Saccharomyces cerevisiae S288C: one gene and its partners. The main gene of each other region encodes a partner of the protein of the gene in region 2 in a complex. Each region holds a gene or a part of one and is shown on either strand. Other genes may lie near its edges. A codon is read from its position in the direction of its gene.

Region 1 (6,045 bases), 350 kb from region 2:
GAATTTTCATTATTTTTCGACATAGTAACCTCTGCATTGCTAGCCCCCATTTTGGAAGGCCCAAGATTGGAATTAAATATCGATGAATTCGAAACCGCACGATTTAGATTTATTGCTGACAAAGAGATCGTTATTTCATAGTTTTTATAGTCATTATTATCGTAAAATGATCTATATTCGAAACCATTTACATCATAACGACAACAGAACTGCAAATTCAGGAGACAAGTAGTTTTCCTTTCAAAAAAGTTAGTGTAAATCAAGTTTTTTGATATTAGATTTAACTTCAACGCAGATATATCAATAATAAATTTGAATTCGTCAACATGAGGGGTGACAGACTTGTTGTAGTGTGCATTAATATAGTGAATATCTGCCCAGTTATTTAAAGTAAATTTTATCTCTATTTTTTTCTCGAAGTTCAAATTATTGACAAATATAAGGCCCCAGATTTGACAGTTACCAAAATTATTGCTACAAATATCCTCGTAGCTTACAGGATCAGATAGTTCTAATGAATGAACCTTTATATTTTGTCCATTTAAGTATTTGAAAATCTTGTCTTCCAACCCAGTAACGTCCACTTTATAGTCACTTTTGAATGGATTCAAATTATTACTGACCAGTTTCCAATCTGCCATATCGAATGTCTCCTCTTCACCAAAGCAGAGAATCTCCTTTTCAATGAACATGCTACGATCATGCATAAGCATTGCATTATCCTCTACGTCACTCTCGTTGTCATACTCAACATCCTTATTGTCATATTCTAAATCACTGTAATCTAAAATGTCTAAACTATAACGATGATCTTCACCTCCAATGAAGGGGAACGTTAGTGGAATGGCATTGTTATGCAAATTTCTTGTAAGATTTGAAGCGGCTTTTTCTGATATCGAGATAGGCGCCAATTTTGTGTTGAACTTTTTGACTGTGTATAAATGTGCAGCAAACCTTACCGATTTCCCTGATGATGAAGATGATGTCGACGAAGATGCAGATGTAGAGTCTTCTAGTGGTGAAAATGAATTAGAGGTTGTTGAGGAAACAAAAGAAGAAGTGGAGATTGTTTTTGCGAGTTTCAAAGACGGTTTAAGCTTCTTACCATGGCTGTAAGGCATTTGTAAAAACAAAGAGTAAAATTATTGACCTTATAACAAGCGTCAAAGAAACGAGCATAGAAGTATTATACGGCCTTTATTTGTCAGATTATACTCCAGACTTAGTAAAAAATTCAATTAAATTCCAAACTGCTTACCCCAGATTTAGTGAATAAGAGCCCTTTATTCTACCCGCTTATCTCTGGATGTAAAACAAATAAACGCGTAATAGAGCAGTCAAACTAACAGCAGTAAACTGTCAATATCAAAAACGTAACAATTGATTCAAATCAGTTTATTCTAAGCCGCCTATGCCAGCCTTTAATTTTCTTCTCCTCCTCTTCACTCCCAGGTTAAGCCATTTAGTTTGTTGCTATGCGGTGTGTGGCGTGTTTCCCTTTTAGGAAAAGTGATTACTTGCAGTTTCGCGAAATCTCGAAGAATTTTTTCAACTTATTGAAAGAACATGAATATACTTGTTAACGTGATTAAACGTTTTATCAGAACAACCTAAGAGTATCTCCTTGGTGAATTAGAAGCCAGATAATGTCATTTGATAGACCGGAAATATACAGTGCTCCTGTTTTACAAGGAGAATCTCCTAACGACGATGATAATACTGAAATCATAAAGTCCTTTAAGAATTTCATTTTGGAGTTCAGACTTGACTCGCAATTTATTTACAGAGATCAGTTAAGGAACAACATCCTTGTGAAGAATTATTCTTTAACGGTTAACATGGAGCATTTGATCGGATATAACGAAGACATATATAAGAAACTATCAGACGAACCTTCAGATATCATTCCATTATTCGAAACCGCGATCACACAAGTGGCTAAAAGGATAAGTATTCTAAGCAGAGCTCAATCTGCTAATAACAATGACAAAGATCCAGAAAATACTAGTATGGATACTGATTCTCTCTTATTGAACTCTTTACCAACATTTCAATTAATTTTAAACTCCAATGCAAATCAGATTCCATTGAGAGATTTGGATTCTGAACACGTCTCCAAGATTGTCCGTTTATCAGGTATTATAATATCCACGTCAGTTTTATCTTCCCGTGCCACGTACCTTTCTATAATGTGCAGAAATTGCAGACACACAACATCAATAACAATCAACAATTTCAATTCTATCACAGGCAATACCGTCAGTTTACCACGTTCTTGCTTATCTACGATTGAGAGTGAATCTTCTATGGCAAACGAGTCGAATATTGGTGATGAATCGACCAAGAAAAATTGTGGACCTGATCCATATATTATTATCCATGAGTCTTCAAAGTTTATTGATCAACAGTTTTTAAAATTACAGGAAATCCCAGAACTGGTTCCAGTAGGTGAGATGCCTAGAAACTTAACAATGACTTGTGACCGATACCTAACAAACAAAGTTATTCCTGGTACGAGAGTCACTATAGTAGGTATTTATTCCATCTATAATTCTAAAAATGGTGCCGGATCCGGAAGGAGCGGGGGTGGAAATGGAGGAAGTGGTGTTGCTATTAGAACACCTTATATCAAAATATTAGGTATTCAGTCCGATGTAGAAACCTCCTCTATTTGGAATTCAGTAACTATGTTTACTGAGGAGGAAGAAGAGGAATTTCTACAGCTAAGTAGAAACCCGAAGCTTTATGAAATTTTGACCAACTCTATTGCCCCCTCTATTTTTGGTAATGAAGATATAAAAAAAGCCATTGTATGTTTATTGATGGGTGGTTCCAAGAAGATATTACCCGATGGTATGAGGTTAAGAGGTGATATCAATGTACTATTATTAGGTGATCCAGGTACCGCCAAATCTCAACTATTGAAATTTGTGGAGAAAGTGTCACCTATTGCGGTATATACATCTGGTAAGGGATCTTCTGCAGCTGGGTTAACTGCCAGTGTACAAAGAGATCCGATGACAAGAGAATTTTATTTGGAAGGTGGTGCTATGGTGCTTGCCGATGGTGGTGTTGTATGCATCGATGAATTCGATAAAATGAGAGATGAAGATAGAGTGGCCATTCATGAAGCTATGGAGCAGCAAACAATCTCCATCGCAAAAGCTGGTATCACTACAGTGCTAAATTCTAGAACTAGTGTTTTAGCGGCTGCTAATCCGATATACGGCCGGTATGATGATTTGAAGTCTCCTGGTGACAACATTGATTTCCAAACTACTATTTTATCCCGTTTTGATATGATTTTTATTGTTAAGGATGACCATAATGAAGAACGTGATATTTCAATAGCTAACCACGTTATTAATATTCATACAGGAAATGCTAATGCTATGCAAAACCAACAAGAGGAAAATGGCAGTGAAATTAGTATTGAAAAGATGAAACGTTACATTACGTATTGTAGATTGAAATGTGCACCAAGACTTTCACCGCAGGCCGCTGAAAAACTGTCATCGAACTTCGTCACCATTAGGAAGCAATTATTAATCAACGAATTAGAGTCAACGGAAAGGTCGTCTATTCCAATTACCATTCGTCAATTAGAAGCTATTATTAGAATAACAGAATCATTAGCCAAGTTAGAATTAAGTCCTATTGCACAGGAGAGACATGTTGACGAAGCTATTAGATTGTTTCAAGCTTCCACAATGGACGCAGCGTCTCAGGATCCAATTGGCGGCTTAAATCAAGCAAGCGGAACATCTTTGTCAGAAATCCGTCGTTTTGAACAAGAACTAAAAAGAAGATTACCTATAGGCTGGTCTACTTCTTATCAAACTTTGAGGAGAGAATTTGTAGATACACATAGATTTTCTCAATTAGCACTGGATAAGGCCTTATATGCCCTAGAGAAGCATGAAACAATTCAATTGAGACACCAGGGACAGAATATTTACAGAAGTGGTGTATGACAACAATAAAGTCTTAGCTTGACGCCTTTTCTACTTGTTTGCATGTAATGAATCTAAAAAATTCGCTACAAATACTTCATTATTATATTTCTATATAAATTCTGTAAACGAAATTATACTTTTTGAGGTTTCATCTGCGTCTCATATTCTTTTTGTATAATAAACGCACAGACTTGATATGACCGTCAATCAAAATAATTCAAAGCTTCTTAAAAAAGAAATTGAAATCAAAGACATACGAAAGAAATTAGAAAATAGAGGTCGATTTACCACTGAACAATCCTACAGTACATGAGCTCTTGAAGTGACTTTATGGGGACCAATTTGTCCTATCGTGATATTACTACGGGTAATACTACCAAATGAAAATTATCTTACTCAAAAGGTATGACAAGAACATCATCACTAGAACATCATCATTCTTAATAGCAAGCGCCATCACGTTTGCCCCGCCTTTGACAGTTGATTAGAGGAGTATTATAAAACCGTTTTATCATGTCGTATGTTTGATCTTAACCATTTTTACATCCTATAATTTGGAGTGAATTTTTATATACTAACTTAAAAGTAATTGATTTGTATCTTTCCAGTTCACAAATAATTGATCGTCCAAAACATGAACTCTCTAGAGCAGAATTAGAGGAACTAGAAGAATTTGAATTCAAACATGGTCCAATGTCCCTGATAAATGATGCTATGGTGACAAGAACACCTGTGATAATCTCATTAAGAAACAATCATAAAATAATAGCGAGAGTGAAAGCTTTCGACAGGCATTGTAATATGGTTTTAGAAAATGTGAAGGAGCTTTGGACAGAGAAGAAGGGCAAAAATGTAATTAATCGGGAAAGATTCATAAGTAAACTATTCTTAAGAGGTGATTCAGTTATCGTTGTGTTAAAAACCCCTGTTGAGTAAAAAGTAAGACAAGCAGCCCTCAATCAACAAGGAAAGCAAATCATCGTAAGAAACTTTACAGTCAGCGGAAAGCCTTTTTTTATTTTGGAAGTAAGACCAATTATTATTGGCTGATTTTCTAGCTCTTGCGAAAGTATTATATTCAAGAAAACGAATAAAGCATCTATATTATCACATTTAACTAAAGAGCATTTTTAATAAGTAGATTTTTACATAAAATATAGAATAAATATCAATATTATTAATCATTTGAAGTTCTTCAACGGGTCTACTTTACCATTCTTTGGCTTACTGACTCTTCCCTTTTTATGTGAATGGCGCTTCTTAGCATTGTGGAAAGGAACAAACTTGACTTTGGTTCCATTTCCTCTGGCTGATTCAGGAAGCAAGTAATCTGGAACACGCTTTAAATGCTGTTGCACTCTTGCTGGATGTAATTCTTTATCGTGTCTTAAACTTTGTAGCTCTTTTGGATTCTCCTCAAAATGTCTTTTCAACTTCTCACTTGCCAATAGTTCTTGTTTCAACTCTTTGACCCTAGCTTCTCTAATGGCAACTTGAGTAACAGCACGGAAACCGTCTTCCATTCTGTAACGGAACGCCTCGACCTGCTTTTGATCGAATTTGTAAGGCTGTAATTCTAATCCAAGTTTGCTCTGTTGTTTGATGATTCGTGAAAGAATCCTTTCATCCTTCTTTGCTGTCTGTAGCATTGATGGCTTATGCTTACCAAATTCTTTCAGTGGGACTACGAATGAAATTGCAGTACCGGTCTTTCCGCCACGAGCAGTTCTACCTACTCTATGCACGTAGGACTTAGCCGTCGTAGGTAAATCGAAATTGAGGACACATGCAACATTTTTGAAATCAACACCACGAGAAACACCATATTCCTTATCTTTCTTCACTTGGACCTTCTTTTTCTTGCTTGGTTTCTTATCGTTCTCAGGCTCGCCTTCCAAGCTTTTTTCTTCTTGATTTTCTGTATTGTGCCCTTCTTCTATTTCGTCATCTTCCTCTTTTATGTACTCGGTGTCATCTGTGGCAATCAATAGTTGGTAAACGTTTTTATTGAATTGGTCAACAATATGTTGCCTCGAATTAACGGGTAGCTCGCTGTTTAAAATACAGGACTTGATACCAAATTGTTCCA
Region 2 (5,595 bases):
GGCACAATATTGATGGTTATAAAGCTGCCAATGCCCCAGTATACGTAACTAGATTGGCCAATCCAAACTTTGAGAAACAAGACGTAAAATACGGTTCTGCTACCTCTAGGGATGGTATGCCATATATCAAGACGCAGGAAATAGACCCTACTGGAATGTCTGATGTCTTCGCTTATATACAGAAGAAGAAACTGGAATGGGACGAGAAACTGAAAGATCAAATTGTTGAAACTAGAACCCCCATTTAATATATCTCTGCGTACATATGTATATATATATATGTGTGTATATACATGTATGTCTGTATAGAAAACGCATATCAACTGATATATATACACGTGAAGCAAAAAAGGCATTGCCTCTGTCAGAGAAACGAACTATCCTCGTTGCTATAGTGTCTTCTGCACTTATCGCGTAGACTTTCTATTGGCACTCTGTCATGGCATTTAATCTTGTACACATTCTTTAATTCTTCTTGCAAAAGAAGGTACTCTTCATGCAAATGATGACTTTGGAGTGAATTGACTAATCCTGAGTCGTTCCAGAAACTTTTTAAGGCGTTCGTTTCATGATTTATTATGTCATCCAACCGTCTCATATTAGGTTTCGAATTTGTTACAAATTCTCGCCTTGATAACCTCTCCAGGTCTTCTTTGTTGCATCCAGGTACACTCTCTAACAACATTGAACCATTGCCCTCCGGATTCGCACTGTCATATTTATTAGCCTCTTCGCCGCACATGATGTCAATATCGGGTCGATAGCTGTCTATGCCGTCTAGATGGCCCACCTTATGAAACACAAGACAATGTGCTGCCCTTTCGGCTTTCAAAAAACTGTCAATTCTACTTTCCCTTAGCGTATTGCGCTCACAAAACGGTGAATAATCGTATTGCTTTTCTTCCTCGATGTGGCTCAAAGTATTCAGATAGTCGACTTCGTCTACGTCCATATTTATCCCATAGAGATCATCTGCAGTCCTCTCCTCTAGTACTTCGCCTGTTATGGGCATCGAATCATCATTTATTACCCTTGTCGACCTTTTCCGTAGCGGTGTGGTAAAATTGTTAAAGTTGGCTTTGTTGAACCTTGGTGTTTTCCAGGGCGGCAATGACGGTAGTTGAAACAACTTGCCTTCGTTCTTATCACCATTTTGGTTCATCTTACTTTGTCACAGCTATTTCTTTCCTTCCTGAATTTGTCCTTCCAAACCTAGTTCCCTGTTCTTAATTTCCTTTTATTTAGGTTTTTTTTTTTGTTTTGTCAAGAGCCGCGCACAAAATATGGTATTATTATAGAAAAGTTGGACTTAAAAGCTTGAAAAAGCTTAGATTTTATATTCATATGCTGGTATATATGTACGACTAAATAATATAAATTTGATTATAACAATCCACTCAAGGTCAGCTTCTCCAGGAATGGTGAAAGATCTTCACGACGTATTTCAATTATGGAACTTTCAAAATTATCTATTCTCACTTTAGCATCCGTTTCTGCAGTTATTTGTTGAAACGCCATGCTGAAATTATTCAAAATAGGTTTTTTTGTGTGTATCGTGTCTAGTCCGCGAGGATACCTAGGTGTTAACCCAGCAACCAAGTAAGTGTCCGTATTTTCATCTATGCTGGCAAGCACCATGGGCAACAATTGCTTGTCTTCAGATTCCGCACAGCATTCTATGAGCCAATTTCCTAATCTTAATAACGTCAATGGGTTTCTGTACAAGTCTAAATCGGGTCCGTCTTGTAAGACGCATAATCTATAAATTCTTAAATGCTTGATTAATTTCTTCTCCAATATAGCAACCCCGGTATTAAAAATTGCTCTCTGTAAGTCTTGTGCTAGTTGAATGCCACGGTTTAATAGTTCCACCTTTCTGTCATCTAGAGCATCCCAACTGAGCCAAAAATTCGAAACCCATCTTTTTCTCAAATTCGTCAATTTTTGAGCGCTGTTATCTTCTTCTTCCTCTCCATCTGTATCGTCATTATTGTCATTATTTATTTTCACACTATCCTTATCAGTTGAATTACCTACTTCCAAAAGAGCTGTTAGTGCTTCGACAAATTCACTGGCACTTATGGACCCACGATATCCAAGAGTTCTAACAAACCCATCTCTAATTATATCTTGCAACCCATAACGATCCAAATTTTTGTCAAATATTATCCCAAGTTCTCTCTTAATAGAATGATCCATGTATAACCATGTTTCTTGTGCAGTACTTAATGGTATACCCATTCTAGCAAACATCTTATGCAATCTCTTTTTCCCATTTTCATTCCATAGGGATAGTTTGGCATTGACATAGTTAGAATAATAAAAACTGTCGTACAATGAAGAATGCCTCAGTAAGAAAAGGTAGTAATCCGGTTGGATGTTTAACGTCAATGTATCAGGGGTCTTTACTGAGTTTCTACTGCTTGGTGTGAGACGCTTCACTTCATCTTGCAATAAGGGGTATAATCGATTGTAAACTTGAGCATATGCTATATCTAACGAGGTCGTACCAAGTATATTCAACCACAGGTTTGAAAGATTTGTTTCTCCGATAGCAGACAATAATGAATAGATTTGTGCAGATATCGAGTTAACCACTGTTGTGCCTTGAGAATAGTATTCCTCCAAAACACCTTCATATTCATGGATTTGCTTCTTTCGTTGCTTTCTTTTTGAGAGATCATTCGGTCCTATTGAAGAATTACCTCTTTTATTAGATATTGTCTCATCTTCGTCTTCTTCGTCCTCGTCTGTGACTTCATCGGCATCAGTTGCCTCATCGTCACCCCCATTATTATCGTTCTCGTCACCTGAGAGCTCATCGTCACCACTCTCCTCGTCCAGTTCAAGCAATTTATAGTATGCTTCTTTTTGTTCGCCTAATGTGTCATCCACCGTACCGTCGTCAAAACATTGGATGATTTGTGATCCAAATATATTGTCGAGATTCCACGGTCTATGAGCATCCAACACGTAGATGTCTCTCCTGAAACTTTGTTCCCCCGACTTTTCATCTGTATCGATAACATACTCTTGGGGATCGATTTCTAAGAAAGCCTCCAGATCAATAACGCCTCCAAACCCTACTAATAGCAGACTATTTATATTGTCATCCAATTGAGAATAGTGGCGTCGTAATTCAGAGTACCCAAATATCGGTACTATTTGAGATTGTACCAATTGTTTTTTGAATAATAGTGACAACATCTTCGTCGCACACAGCGCATCGATGTTAAGACAAGAAACGAAAATGACCAATTGACATGATGAATGAGACGATGAATTCCTTAAGATTTTGTTGTAGGCTTCGCTAAACTGGCTGATTCCATAATACATGTGCGAGAGTATATTCTTGTTATTATGTGCCTTCTCTCTAGTGTTTATTGCTACACTTTTATTGCTCTATAGTGCGTTGTATAAAGTAGCCACAATGGATTGTTGGCATTACTACAGCTTCATTATTTACTGAAATTTCTTAAAACGCGTTAGATGATATGTTGAAAAAAAAATACGCGTCGTGAATGAAACTTATTAGGTTTTACGACTAGTTAAAGCAAGAGAGAGAAGATCGAATTGACTAAATGTCTTCACTTTGAATTTATTCTAGTAGGATTCGCATGGCTTTTTCATAATAAAAATCTCGTTTATTTATGCTTTTGGTTGGTTTTCCTTTGATAAATGCGGCCCTTGCTTTGTTTGTGGTTGCAACGAGTTCGTCAAATGATAAATTGACGCTTAACACAGACGCATGGGAACCACGTAATTGAATTAATGTTTTCTTCTCGAAACAATTGCAATGTGACTTTCTTGTTAGGCAATGTGAGATGAAAGATGGCCTTTACCTTTGCAGATGTTTGGGTGTGGCTCTGAGCTGTCCTTTATAATTATAGAGATAATTTTGATGAAAGCTCAGAAGACCTTTAATGACGAAAAATAGGCATGGTTTGCCAGGCAAAAAACGACCAAATTTTACTGTAGTATGAGTCAAAGTCGCTGGAGTATCGTTCTCATCTTTGCATTGTTTATTTTTGGCAGCACTGGAGTGAATGCCTTCTTCAATTTCGGTCATCATCAGCAACAGCAACAGCAACAGCAACAATCATATGAAGATCAAGTTTTAAATAACCCTTGTGATGGGTATTTGTGTCCGGACACCCTAACGTGCGTTGCACAGCAGAAAGACTGTCCTTGTCCCTTCCCTAAATCTCAGTTGAAATGTGTCCTTCCTGATAATAAATTTGTTTGCATATCCAAACCAGCCACACACAATGAAAAGTTTAGAGCAATATATGATGACCCTGTCAAGGGCCCCAAAGCAAAGAACAAGGGGTTTAGGGATTGTGGATGGGTATCAGATGCTTACAAAAACCATTGAAATCTGTATAAAAAATACATACACATACATATATACATACGAAGGATTTATCTTCTCATTGATATTCTAGTCTCTATTTCTTCCGGGAACCCATCTCTTATACAATACTTCACCAACTTGAAAACTATTGAACAATTTAGTAAAGTTGTTTGATTTCCATAGTGCTATCGCCTCCTGTTCCGAGATTAGTCTCTCCACGTAGCATAACACAAACGTCTTCTTTGCGCCGCCCACAACACGGGCTATGCTAGAATACCACGTATAATCTTTAGAGACGTCGTGGTCAAGACCCATAACACAAAATTCAGCGTGTTGAAATGGTGGCCCTCTCTTATATAATAAATAATCGCAGCCGAATTTTATACCAGATCTTACGCACCAACCGTGTGATCTGTAGTGATGGTATATAACGTATGATCTGACAAAGGAGTGAATATCTTTATATTTGGCATCGAATTGAAACAGTTTCCCTGCCAGGCACGCGGGAGATATGTCAAGAACAGGAAGTGCAAAAGTTAAAAACATAGCTTCCACTGGCATTAGTTCTAGTGACTCTAGTGGCAAAAGATCACCGTTCTCATCAAGAAGATTGTTGTCTTCATCTCTTAAATTTGATTCGGAAATGTCTTGCTGTTGTGCAACGATGCCCACGTCTTCTGTTTGTTTTAGTTTAAATTTTCTTAATGATTCTCGTTGTTTCTCAAGGAGGATGTTTTCCTCATCGATATGACCACCTTTTTTTCTTAATTCTAGTAATTCTCTTTCTAACTTCGCACGTTCTTTCTTGAACTCTAATCTTTGTAATCTCCTCTGTTGTGTGACCTTCTCTAAAGTCATCTCCGTTTCAGTATTACTCTTTGTTCCTCCCCGATTGTGGAGGGGAGTATCATTGAGACCCAGTCTGGCCTCTGTTCTAGCTTTCCATGTAGGCTCACTCCTGCTAAATTGACCAGTGCCAAAAAATCCATTATTCCAAAGATATAGCATTTGCTTGTCATCTTGAACCGTGATGTGAAGAGTGGTATCTCCTATAAAATCTACATGTACTTTATCGTTCAGTGCGTTCGTACTCTTGTAATAGCGGTATGCCCAATATAGCCAAGATAACGGATTATGAAGGATTAACTCTGGAAGGTCATCTACGGGGTGAATTGGAAGAGGATACTTGTAACGCTTCTGATTGACCCTCCCTTTAGACATGCTCCTTCTTGAGTCCTTCG
Region 3 (5,854 bases), on a different chromosome or scaffold from region 2:
TCCGAGCAACCATAGCAGGTATCGCTATAGGGTCTCTGGTGCTAACATCAAATTTTCAATTTGGCCTGCAAACCGGTTGGGTTTCCATGATGTCCCTGCCATCGGCATTGTTAGCTTGTGCTTTCTTTAAAAATATCTGGCCATTAATATTTCCGAACGACAGGCCTTTCAGTGACGTTGAAAATGTATACGTACAAAGTATGGCAGTAGCTGTCGGAACAGGCCCATTAGCCTTTGGGTTTGTCGGCGTCATACCTGCCATCGAGAAGTTCCTTACTAACGACGAAAGTGGTGGATTAAGGGAACAAGGACAGTCCTTCACTTTTAGAGAATTGTTAATATGGTCCACAGCCCTAGCATTCTTCGGTATTTTTTTTGCAGTTCCTCTAAGAAAGCAAGTAATTGTTAGAGAGAAACTTCCCTTCCCCAGTGGTAGCGCCACGGCCACTTTAATTTCAGTGCTAAATGGAACTGAGATTTTACAAGAGGTTTCTAAGTCAGAGTTATTGGAAATGAGGCAGAGGAGATTGAATGAATGCCCTGAAGTGCTACAACCCAACAGAGATCCAGAGGAGGCGGATTATTTAATGAACTCTTCTCATAGCGAACTTGGTGATTATACGGCAACTAGCCAAGATGGAAGTTCTATCCTTTCTACTGGCTCTGAGAACTACAGAGCGAATATTATTATTTTATTGAAAACTTTTGTTGTTTCTTCGCTTTACACCATGGTGTCATATTTTGTACCGGTAATACGGTCTATTCCAGTCTTCGGAAAATACCTCTCGAACAATTATCTCTGGAATTTTCAGCCGTCGCCTGCGTATATAGGCCAAGGGATAATAATGGGTCTTCCAACAGTATCGTATATGCTTATCGGGTGCTTCTTAGGCTGGGGTGTGTTAGCACCATTGGCGAGATACAAAAGATGGGTACCACCAGATGCTGATGTCCACGACTGGGAGGAGGGAGTGCAAGGATGGATTCTTTGGTCGTCGCTTTCAATAATGGTTGCTGACAGTGTAGTCGCTTTTATTGTTGTGACAGTGAAGTCCATTGTGAAATTTATTCTTATAGATGACAAAGCTGCTTTACTGAACAACATAATCGATGATACATTTCAATCTATGTTACTGGAGGAGGAACGCGCCATTAATAGCAGCAGAAGAAATACATATGTTGATGGAAGGCAGGACACCGTAAGATTAGTGAGTAGAGATAACGAAATAGAAGTAGATTCGAAGCATTTGGTTCGCTATACCACCGTTATCAGTGGATGTCTAGTCTCCTCGATAATATGCATTGTTTCCATAATATATTTGTTTGGGATACAAGTAATTCCCCTATATGCTATTATCACTGCTTTGATACTTGCGTTGTTTCTATCTATTCTCGGTATTCGAGCACTTGGAGAGACCGATCTGAATCCTGTGAGCGGCATTGGTAAGATCTCTCAATTGATTTTTGCCTTTATCATACCAAGGGATAGACCTGGATCAGTGTTAATGAACGTGGTATCGGGAGGTATTGCAGAAGCCTCTGCCCAACAGGCGGGCGATTTAATGCAGGATTTGAAAACGGGGCACCTCCTCGGCGCCTCCCCAAGAGCTCAGTTCTGTGCCCAATTGATAGGGGCCTGTTGGTCAATTATTTTGTCTAGCTTCATGTATTTGTGCTACAATAAAGTTTATTCAATTCCGAGTGAGCAATTCAGGATACCGACAGCAGTAGTGTGGATAGATTGTGCAAGACTAGTAACTGGTAAAGGGCTCCCTGATAAGGCCTTGGAGTGCTCCATGATTCTCGGAGTCATATTTGCCGTTTTATCATTAATCAGAAACACTTATAGAGATTACGGATACGGGTGGATATTATATATTCCGTCTGGTGTAGCAGTCGGTGTTGGTATATTTAATTCTCCCAGTTTTACAATTGCAAGATTCATCGGCGGGTGGGCTTCGCATTTTTGGTTGAAGAATCATAGGGGTGACTTAAATGCGAAAACAAAAATGATTGTATTCAGTTCGGGGTTGGTCTTAGGTGAAGGTATCTTTAGCGTAATAAACATGCTCTTCATCTGCTTAAATGTCCCTCACTATTAGGTATATAATATTTTACTAATAAAGAATTTACAAAGTTTACAAATTTTAAATTATTTACTCATCACATAATTCGATGTCTTAGATTTCCCTGTATATATATTTCTAGGTGACAAAAATCCTAGGCAAAATGTTATATTATACGCGACCTTGAAATATCGGCTATCTTGGTGTACAACATGGTCCATTTAAGAAAAATAAAAAAAAGTGATGGGCACTGTTAAAACAGGCAGAAGCCTCATTCATAACTGCTGAAGGGTTAAGATCGTATAGGTAGGAACGATCTGACCTCTCATAATGGAAACATGGGAAGTCATAGCATCGGTAAAAGAAGCAACAAAAGGCCTTGACTTGAGCTTAGATCATCCACTTATTATTAAATCCGAGGACGTGCCCAGTAACATTCTCCAATTACTGCAACAGAAGAATCGACGTCAATTGAAACACATCTGCATGAAATCAAGAAAAGAGTATTTTCTACTAGAGGAATATGGGCCAGGATTTTGGGTTAAGTGGCCGTACAATTATTTCAATGGTTACAGCTTACCAGAAAGGCGTACGGAAGTTGTAACGACAGTTGAAAGAGAAAGAGCTAAGCGTGAAACGTTAAAAACATGGGACGAATTGAAATTTAAAGAGCTTCTTCATTTATGGTCAGAAGAACCCAAGGGCTCGTGTAAGCTTGAGAAGGACAAAGACCTTAAACTGGATATGAATCCCCCAGATATGAAAGGCGAATCAAAAATTAATGACTACTATTCAGACCCTAAAGAGTACATAGAAAGTAAGTATTATGATGCTCTTTTTTCCATACATACGCCTCTCGCATATTTCGTCAAGTCAAATTTAGTAAGGCTCAAAAATACCTGCCGAACCAAGTACGGAAGTGACAGTTACAAAATAGCCTATCAAGCCATGCTGCAAAAATTTCTTCTCTCAATTGTACAATTCAAAGATAGACATGATAACAGGCTTTTATTAGAGCCCTTTTCTAGTCCCATAGCAGATGAAAAAAGGAAGAACTGTCTCACAAAATTTGTTATCCAAGATGAAAACAAAAACAGCTCAACCATTGCTGATTTATGTGTTGTATTAAAATCCCGCGAAATAAAGCTACAAATATTATTGCTATTAGAGATAATAGGATTGAACGATTTAGATTGGAATTTTAGAGATTTTGAGAAAAAGTATAAATTAAAATTGAAGAAAAGATCACTTAATTTGACAAAAAAGGGATTAGTTCGTCGAAGATCGAAGAAAAAAACCAGCGAAAAAGACAAAGGAATCGAGAGAATAACAACATCTTTGGATTATTGTGAACAGTTAGACTTGTACTTAGATAGAGCATGCATCTTGGACATTCTACTATCAAGTGAAACGCCCAACCCAGATGCCATAGAAGCATCAAATGGAACAATACAAGAGCATAAAAAAAATATCCTAGACAAAAGCAAAGAAGCCTCATTGGTTGGGTTCATAAATTATGTTCTTATTCCATATTTCAACAAAAAGGTACCACACGCCGTTGAATTTATAATTCAAAAGCTCAAGGGACCAAGCATGAGACCAAAGAGAGCCCTGAAAAAGGTCAACGATAGCACAAATGTATCGTCACCTAATACTGTAGAAACGTATAACAGGTTATCCACGAGTCAACGTGCCTCTCGCTCTTCAATCATTAATTCCGTCCCATCTTCACCCGCATTGAGAAGGGTGGACGCTAATTTGTTCAGCAGAAAATCTATAGCTTCGCCCACCCCTGAACTTTTGAATTCTAGAACGAACTCTAACTTGAATGAATTTCTCGAAAGTGAAACTAGAAGCTTAAAGCGCCCTTCACAATTGGGAAGGACGAAGTCTGATCTAACGATGAATCATTTACAAAAACGGCAGTTTTCTGTCTCTGACTTAAGCACAACAAGAGTACCGAATTCATCAACTATCACACTCAAAACGCCTTTCTCGCACTCAACTATTAATGCATACAAAACTATGAATAACTCTTTTCGCAGAGTTGGGAAACGTAAAGATATCAATGAAACGATACGCCTACATGAACGTGTAGACTCTGAGGAAAACGTACAAGTTCAAGCCACTCCTGCTGTGAAAAAAAGAACTGTGACACCTAATAAAAAGGCGCAACTTCAAAGCATCATTGAATCGCCGCTAAATTTCAAGGATGATGATACGCATGAAGGCAGAAAAAATACCTCCAATATTACCTCTACTCCCACTAATAAGCCCCCGGAAAATAGCTCAAAAAGGAGAGTAAGAAGACGTTTATTTGCTCCAGAATCCACATAGAATAAGAAACTGCGAGACCACCTTCGCTGGCAAGTAGTTGACCCAACTCCATCTTTGTAGCTTTTCTTGGACGAAAAGGGAATAAAATAAAACTAAGCTACAACAATTTCGCACTTCGGGGGCCTTTGAGTATACAATTAAATAACTCATCATGCATATATATATATATACATACAATGGCGTATGTAAAAACTGTTATATAACATTACCGTTGTACTATTAGTATAAACCGATTCTCACTATTCGCCAAAAAATATCGCACTAATTAATTCTTTTGCGTCGTCTCTTTTCAAAATGTGAAATCCAATAGTGACACCACACCTCTCTAGCAATTTTTCCTTATCCTCATCCGTAACTTTTTCACCTTTACCCTCGTACAAATCTGGTAAATCCTTTTTTAGAACTAACAATGCACTAATTACAGTATCAACCAAGATTTGAGTTTCTTCTTTAGTAAATTTGGTCCTAGTTGGATTGGAGTCATCGTTCAAATGTTCCTCTATATTGTCTAGAGTTATTCCGCTTTCATTGAATACCAAGCGCGCCCAATTATTTAGGTTTCCTAAGAAGAATCTGATGGATTCACCTTCTAGTACCGATACACCCTTTAAGCACCCATAGTAAGTCCCAAAAACACGGTTTATGTCCAAAAATGTCTTTAGCAGTGTCCTAGTTACTCTTGGCTTCAGGGATTTGTATGCTTGAGGAAATTTTTTCAATACATAGTCCAACAAAGATGCGGCAAAATCACGTAGTGCATTCGTTCTTTCTAAAAATTCATGAATTTCTTGCGGCGAATCATCTTTTGGTGATCCACCAAGTTTTTTTGCTAATAGCAAGGTTAAAATGGAAGGCATTAACGAATGAATATAAGGGTCCAGGAAAATAGAAGTATTGCTTAGTAAAGAGTAAATCATTTCCAAAATTGTTGTTAGCAATTGTAAATCGGAAAGATTTTGTGTGATTTGTTCGGCAATAAATTGAATAAAATATGGAACCAGTTGGTGCAGGCCACTATCAGTTCGTAGTGAAGTCAAAGCTGCTTGTTTCATATGCTGTGCAGCTTCATCAGCTTGACTCTTCGCTGTCAAGGTTGAAATGACCTTATTGAAATAAATCTGTAATTCTTTGGATAAAACGTGTTTCACTAAAGGTTTGACTTCAGTATTCTGTCCTGGTTTAACATTAGACAGGTGTTGAGAGGCGCCTGTATCCGTCACAGAAGCACTTGCTGTCGTCGACGTTACAGGTGTTTGGAGGCTGTTATCATTCAAAGCAGTGACAATAGCACCTCTAATAAATGGTGGTTGGGATACCCTTATATCATTCAAATTTGGATTTTGGATTATGGCAGGTTGAACCCCTTCAACTGCTAGCCAATGTGTAGTAAAAGTTGGTAGACGAGGCACTTGCGGTAATGGCTCATTTATTAATCTATCAAAATCTACTTC
Region 4 (4,216 bases), on a different chromosome or scaffold from region 2:
AAGGATGGAGATTCTCTTGATTATATCTAACGATAAATTACCATGCATTTCCCAGAGTGATAATGAATAATAAAGTCCCGTTTTGAATTGAGTCTTCCGAAGAAAGTCTTCGAAATTTAGGTGTGAGAGTTTTTTAATATGCTTATTCTTTTTTGTCCGTATTTTACCATCATCTTTACTTAATTCGATAGAGAAATTGTCAAAGCTTGGCGGGAAATCGGATTGTGATTCACTAACTTTATGTAGTAAATAACCCTGTAATAAGATTAATTCAGGAAAATCCGATCTAAATTGCGCAAAACTAAGCTTAATTATTTCCTTTTTGAAATATCTTTTCGCATATTGAAAAAATTCTTCGTCATTAATAATCATTAGGGATAAATTTAAAAGTTTTTTAAAGTATTCATTGATTGGTACCGTAGTATTGTCATTACTTTTAGAATTGGACAGAAGAAACTCAATATCATCCTGGTATTTTATTGTATCTCCCATATTTTTTAATTCGTTGTAGTGATTTGTTGAAGTTAATCCTTCTTTTTCAGCATTACTGTTGTCAGCGTTATTTAGGGACAAGGTGTTAGCTTTCTGATCTACCTCTTCTCCCATTATTTCATTTTCTTTATTTTTGTTTATTAATATTGTTCTAAATTTGCCATATTTTTTGTCTTTGGATGTGCGTATGCTATTATTCTCTATAGAGTCGTCCATCTTCATCTCATTTTCAAGCATTTTATTCAGTATATCATCGTCAGCTCTCGGTAGCTTCAATATGAATTCATTGATGTCATTGTATATTTTCCTTATTGATTCAAATTCATTGTGCATTGTAATGCTGTCTTCATCTTGTACGTCTGGTTCAATTGAAGACGTTATGTTCGCATCATGCTTTTGGTAAGTTCTTCTTCTTTTTCTCTTAGATGCCTTTGAACCATCAAGGAAATTAAAGGCACTTAACTTTTCATCTTTCATAAATGCCATTGAGGTATCACTGCTAGTGATAATTTTGACGTTTTGGTCATTCCTTTTTGAGTCCAGTTGTGAAGAGGGCTTCTCATTTGCACCATCAAATGACGACGAGCTGTCCTGAGCCTTTCTAGGCTCGTCCAATAATCCCTCTATCGGGTGGTCTGCAATACTGCTCGAAATGGTAGAACTTACATCAGGAATCACGGAGTTTACATCGTCATCACTAAATTCAACATCGGAAGAAGATGGCAAGCCTTTATTAGATCTAAAAGGAGTTCTGAGAACTGGGCCCCTCTTTCCATATGCTCTCATTTTTTCAGAAACAGGATGCTTTAGGGTAAGAAGATGGTTTCGTTTTGCGATAGTTTCTCTGCGCAGTTTTTCATTATTATAATAAAGTGAAGCTTCGTCATCAATAAAGTCGCGTAAAGCTCAGAAAGCCTCCTCAACCAAAACTTACGAAATCTATTAAAAAGGGCTGAAGTAAACATAGAAGGGAGTAAATTAGAATGGAGGTATGTATCTTGCTTTATAAAGGATTATATATCATGAAGACCAGCTTGAAAGCATTTTATCATATCTTCTGCAAATAACCTTGTTGAATCAAACGCTCTACATCAGACTGCCTTACGAAAAACTGGGAGTCTTTAATAAGGTTAAACACGCCGTATTCAGTTTGAATCTCACCAGCATCTTTGAGCACTCTAACATCAATAAATACATCGCTCGGAGGCACTAAAGAGCCGGATAAATCAATATCGACCAAGTCACCACTTTTTAAATCAGTAATTAAATCGCAGTATTCTTTCAAATATTCCTGCTCTTGATGAGAAAGGTTATTTGTGTCTTGTTGGCTAAACGTAATGCTACTCATCAAGTCCAGACCATTATTATTCCAAGCCATAGAATCTAGTATGTCTGTTCTCAACCTTTGGTATGCTAAGAGACATCTCTTGTTCCTTTCCATACATAACAAGGTAACGAAATACTGGCATTTAGCCACCTTATCATCTAGCATTCCTAGTTGCTGCTGTTCTTTAAGATATTCCGTATTTTTACGTAAATTTGAAACTTCTTTCAGAATATTTCGTATTATATCTTCATGATACATGGGTAAATTAACATCTTGATTACTTCTTGCGTACAGCTGTTTTGTTCTTTTAGCTTCTAATACTAATTTATTACCTAAATCTCCATACATGATTCTCTGTGAGCATGGCCGTTTATAAACGATTTTCCCTCACATCTATTTTTCAGCTTTCTTCGTTAGTTATTTTAAATTACAATTTTCGCGTTGTAACGACAAGAAGGTTTTGAGCAAATCTGACGTTTCGACTTTAAAGAAAACAAAAAGGTTTGATTAAAGACTAGTAACAAAGATATTTAAATTAAAGTTAAAGATCTATACTATAAATTCTAGTCATGCTTCAAGGTTTCGGCGAAAACAGCAGCTGGCTTGGTACCAGTCTTTTCAGCCTTCTTGGAACCTAGCTTTTCAGCAGCAAAGACCTTGGCGTAAGGGTTCAATCTCAACAAAACTTGCTTGTTCTTCAATGGGTTCTTCTTCAAAACGTGAGTACGCTTTTGAGTAGCTTGGCCAGCTGGTCTGATAGCAGATTGGATTTCAGAAGAGTTGATAATTCTGGTGACATCAGAAGTGGAGATGATGTGGGATGGCAAAGTGTAACCGACCTTGGAGGAGGCAACGGTTTCGGAACCCCAGACTTGGTCCAACTTGGTGAAAGCAGCTTCGGTCCAGATAACGAATCTACCCAAGTGAGCACCTGGAGCCAATTGCAACAAGTTCAAAGAAGCAACGTTGGCAGTTTCAACACCTGGAACGTTTCTCAAGGCCTTGACGATACCGTTGTCTTCAGCGTAGACAACTAATGGACCTCTTCTTTGAGTCCATCTTCTGTTTCTGTACTTACCCTTACCGGCTCTCAATTTCTTGGACTTCAAGACCTTCAACAAGTCGGAGTGAGCACCAACAGCCTTCAAAGCAGCAACAGCTTCCTTGGTCTTTTGAATAGATTCCAAGTCAGTGGAGACAACCAATGGGATTTCTGGAATCTTTTCGACTCTGTGACCTCTGGCCAAGACCAAAGAAGCAACAGCAGTAGCAGCAATAGCAGAAGCAGTGGCGTAACGCTTTTCGTTGTGGTTAACCTTAACGTTCCACTTTCTCCAGGTCTTAGTTGGAGCAAACATACGACCACCACGACACATGTTACCGAAGGCACCTTGACCGGATCTACCGGTACCACCACCACCAACTCTTGGAATACGAGCGACGGCACGACCGGTACCCCAGGATTCAGCGGAGGTTTGGTGACCAGCCTTTTCAGAAACAGCGTAAGCTTGTCTCTTGTTCTTGTTCACAGAGGTGAAAACAGTGTGGACAATGTCAGGACGGATAGGAGCGGAGAAGACAGCTGGCAATGGCAAGGCATTGGCAGTAGCTTCACCAGTCAAAGAGTGAACAGTAACTTGTGGACGGGACATTATTATTGGTATATACCCTAGTAAATGACTATGAATATGTAAGCGATTGCTGATAGGAAAGAAATATTATTTTCAATAATAATAGTAGTGTAACGTATTCATGATCTTCATGAAAACTTTTCCAGAGTACTTGAAAAAAAAAAAATGTTAAAAAAATTGCGTCTGCGCGATGCTTTCGTAAATAATTATATTTCTAACGGAATAGACAATTCATGCCTTCAGTGCAGTTCTTAGCAATATGCGCAGTTGTTTTATAATTCAGATACGCTGAGGAAAGCGCTTCTAAATTGTTATTTTCCCATTTGTTCCAATCTATCAAAACTAACGTTATCTATATTCAAAAATTCCTGTAAGATGAATACCGTTACGATAAATAAGGCAGGACTTACGGAACATGTAGGGTCCGGATAAGGGTTGCTTTATTGCGAAATGTTCTTATAGTGCAACCCTTAATAGAGTTATGAAAACTTTTCATAAAACAGAAAATTTTTATCACTCTTTTCAACCAAGCTGTCGAATGAACTATGCAGAAAAAAAGAATAATAAAAAATTACAATTTGGTAATTGGGAGAGGTCGCTGCATGCACTTCTTAAGACAAAAATAAGTTTACTCATTTTCTAAGTTGGTCAGCTGTAATCTATCGTGGTCATTTCTTGTTCTCACTTCTTTCGAATATTATTTCTGAAAAATACTGCTGCAATATAGTATATGTTGTTCAATCACAAAGCTCCAGGGTATGACTTG

What was found.
Region 1: the proteins of CDC45 (region 2) and MCM5 are in contact, whole or in part, in a cryo-EM structure (PDB 6PTO), measured with the Saccharomyces cerevisiae proteins. Residues at the interface, in NP_013204.1 of Saccharomyces cerevisiae: Lys311 (codon at 2,406), Pro313 (codon at 2,400), Tyr335 (codon at 2,334), Ile368 (codon at 2,235), Pro369 (codon at 2,232), Leu370 (codon at 2,229), Ser371 (codon at 2,226), Gln374 (codon at 2,217), Glu375 (codon at 2,214), Tyr379 (codon at 2,202), Tyr415 (codon at 2,094), Arg416 (codon at 2,091), Gly417 (codon at 2,088), Asn436 (codon at 2,031), Asp486 (codon at 1,881), Pro534 (codon at 1,737), Asp535 (codon at 1,734), Asp537 (codon at 1,728); in NP_013376.1 of Saccharomyces cerevisiae: Phe34 (codon at 1,746), Glu37 (codon at 1,755), Phe38 (codon at 1,758), Arg39 (codon at 1,761), Leu40 (codon at 1,764), Asp41 (codon at 1,767), Glu66 (codon at 1,842), His67 (codon at 1,845), Ile69 (codon at 1,851), Gly70 (codon at 1,854), Asn72 (codon at 1,860), Glu73 (codon at 1,863), Asp74 (codon at 1,866), Tyr76 (codon at 1,872), Lys77 (codon at 1,875), Ser141 (codon at 2,067), Asn142 (codon at 2,070), Ala143 (codon at 2,073), Asn144 (codon at 2,076), Gln145 (codon at 2,079), Ile146 (codon at 2,082), Ile159 (codon at 2,121), Val160 (codon at 2,124), Arg161 (codon at 2,127), Gly578 (codon at 3,378), Met583 (codon at 3,393), Gln587 (codon at 3,405), Asn590 (codon at 3,414).
Region 3: the proteins of CDC45 (region 2) and SLD3 are in contact, whole or in part, in a crystal structure (PDB 8J09), measured with the Saccharomyces cerevisiae proteins. Residues at the interface, in NP_013204.1 of Saccharomyces cerevisiae: Glu234 (codon at 2,637), Leu237 (codon at 2,628), Glu238 (codon at 2,625), Glu239 (codon at 2,622), Tyr241 (codon at 2,616), Ser242 (codon at 2,613), Lys520 (codon at 1,779), His521 (codon at 1,776), Leu522 (codon at 1,773), Arg523 (codon at 1,770), Ile524 (codon at 1,767), Tyr525 (codon at 1,764), Leu527 (codon at 1,758), Val529 (codon at 1,752), Gln531 (codon at 1,746), Asp561 (codon at 1,656), Lys562 (codon at 1,653), Glu574 (codon at 1,617), Tyr579 (codon at 1,602), Ile601 (codon at 1,536), Leu602 (codon at 1,533), Asn604 (codon at 1,527), Met607 (codon at 1,518), Ala608 (codon at 1,515), Gln611 (codon at 1,506), Arg634 (codon at 1,437), Leu637 (codon at 1,428), Ser638 (codon at 1,425), Pro639 (codon at 1,422), Leu641 (codon at 1,416); in NP_011402.3 of Saccharomyces cerevisiae: Ile215 (codon at 3,039), Val216 (codon at 3,042), Lys219 (codon at 3,051), Lys267 (codon at 3,195), Phe294 (codon at 3,276), Glu295 (codon at 3,279), Tyr298 (codon at 3,288), Lys299 (codon at 3,291), Lys301 (codon at 3,297), Leu302 (codon at 3,300), Lys303 (codon at 3,303), Lys304 (codon at 3,306), Arg305 (codon at 3,309), Ser306 (codon at 3,312), Leu307 (codon at 3,315), Asn308 (codon at 3,318), Leu309 (codon at 3,321), Thr310 (codon at 3,324), Lys311 (codon at 3,327), Lys312 (codon at 3,330), Leu314 (codon at 3,336), Val315 (codon at 3,339), Glu341 (codon at 3,417), Asp344 (codon at 3,426), Leu345 (codon at 3,429), Asp348 (codon at 3,438), Arg349 (codon at 3,441), Cys351 (codon at 3,447), Ile352 (codon at 3,450), Ile355 (codon at 3,459).
Region 4: the proteins of CDC45 (region 2) and PSF1 are in contact, whole or in part, in a cryo-EM structure (PDB 3JC5), measured with the Saccharomyces cerevisiae proteins. Residues at the interface, in NP_013204.1 of Saccharomyces cerevisiae: Ser23 (codon at 3,270), Lys50 (codon at 3,189), Leu53 (codon at 3,180), Val54 (codon at 3,177), Gln55 (codon at 3,174), Ser56 (codon at 3,171), Gln57 (codon at 3,168), Ile58 (codon at 3,165), Val59 (codon at 3,162), Pro60 (codon at 3,159), His70 (codon at 3,129), Leu74 (codon at 3,117), Asp75 (codon at 3,114), Asp76 (codon at 3,111), Lys471 (codon at 1,926), Val474 (codon at 1,917), Ser475 (codon at 1,914), Trp478 (codon at 1,905), Trp481 (codon at 1,896); in NP_010296.3 of Saccharomyces cerevisiae: Phe162 (codon at 1,684), Asp164 (codon at 1,678), Arg166 (codon at 1,672), Glu173 (codon at 1,651), Tyr178 (codon at 1,636), Val180 (codon at 1,630), Phe181 (codon at 1,627), Asn182 (codon at 1,624), Leu183 (codon at 1,621), Ile184 (codon at 1,618), Asp186 (codon at 1,612), Ser187 (codon at 1,609), Gln188 (codon at 1,606), Phe189 (codon at 1,603), Phe190 (codon at 1,600), Val191 (codon at 1,597).

What each region holds. Positions count from the first base shown.
Region 1 is NC_001144.5:689,909-695,953, forward strand, and holds MCM5 (MCM DNA helicase complex subunit MCM5), read left to right. Parts: upstream 1-1,646; coding exon 1,647-3,974; downstream 3,975-6,045. Other genes in the region: protein phosphatase regulator PIG1, read right to left, coding at 1-1,121; mRNA splicing protein SMD2, read left to right, coding at 4,470-4,474, 4,565-4,892; DBP9 (ATP-dependent DNA/RNA helicase), read right to left, coding at 5,138-6,045. UniProt on the Saccharomyces cerevisiae protein: Acts as a component of the MCM2-7 complex (MCM complex) which is the putative replicative helicase essential for 'once per cell cycle' DNA replication initiation and elongation in eukaryotic cells.
Region 2 is NC_001144.5:342,606-348,200, forward strand, and holds CDC45 (DNA replication initiation factor CDC45), read right to left. Parts: upstream 3,337-5,595; coding exon 1,384-3,336; downstream 1-1,383. Other genes in the region: ERG27 (3-keto-steroid reductase), read left to right, coding at 1-248; APC9 (anaphase promoting complex subunit 9), read right to left, coding at 365-1,162; LCL2 (Lcl2p), read left to right, coding at 3,980-4,375; tRNA splicing endonuclease subunit SEN2, read right to left, coding at 4,442-5,575. UniProt on the Saccharomyces cerevisiae protein: Required for initiation of chromosomal DNA replication. Acts at the origin of replication. Also has a role in minichromosome maintenance.
Region 3 is NC_001139.9:293,536-299,389, forward strand, and holds SLD3 (Sld3p), read left to right. Parts: upstream 1-2,396; coding exon 2,397-4,403; downstream 4,404-5,854. Other genes in the region: YGL114W (uncharacterized protein), read left to right, coding at 1-2,102; TATA-binding protein-associated factor TAF6, read right to left, coding at 4,643-5,854. UniProt on the Saccharomyces cerevisiae protein: Required for loading and maintenance of stable association of CDC45 with chromatin during initiation and elongation of DNA replication. Also involved in temporal regulation of origin firing. Required for the association of PSF1 with origins.
Region 4 is NC_001136.10:471,108-475,323, reverse strand, and holds PSF1 (DNA replication protein PSF1), read right to left. Parts: upstream 2,168-4,216; coding exon 1,541-2,167; downstream 1-1,540. Other genes in the region: RAD61 (Rad61p), read right to left, coding at 1-1,278; 60S ribosomal protein uL4 RPL4B, read right to left, coding at 2,383-3,471. UniProt on the Saccharomyces cerevisiae protein: Required for DNA replication. Functions as part of the GINS complex which plays an essential role in the initiation of DNA replication by binding to DNA replication origins and facilitating the assembly of the DNA replication machinery.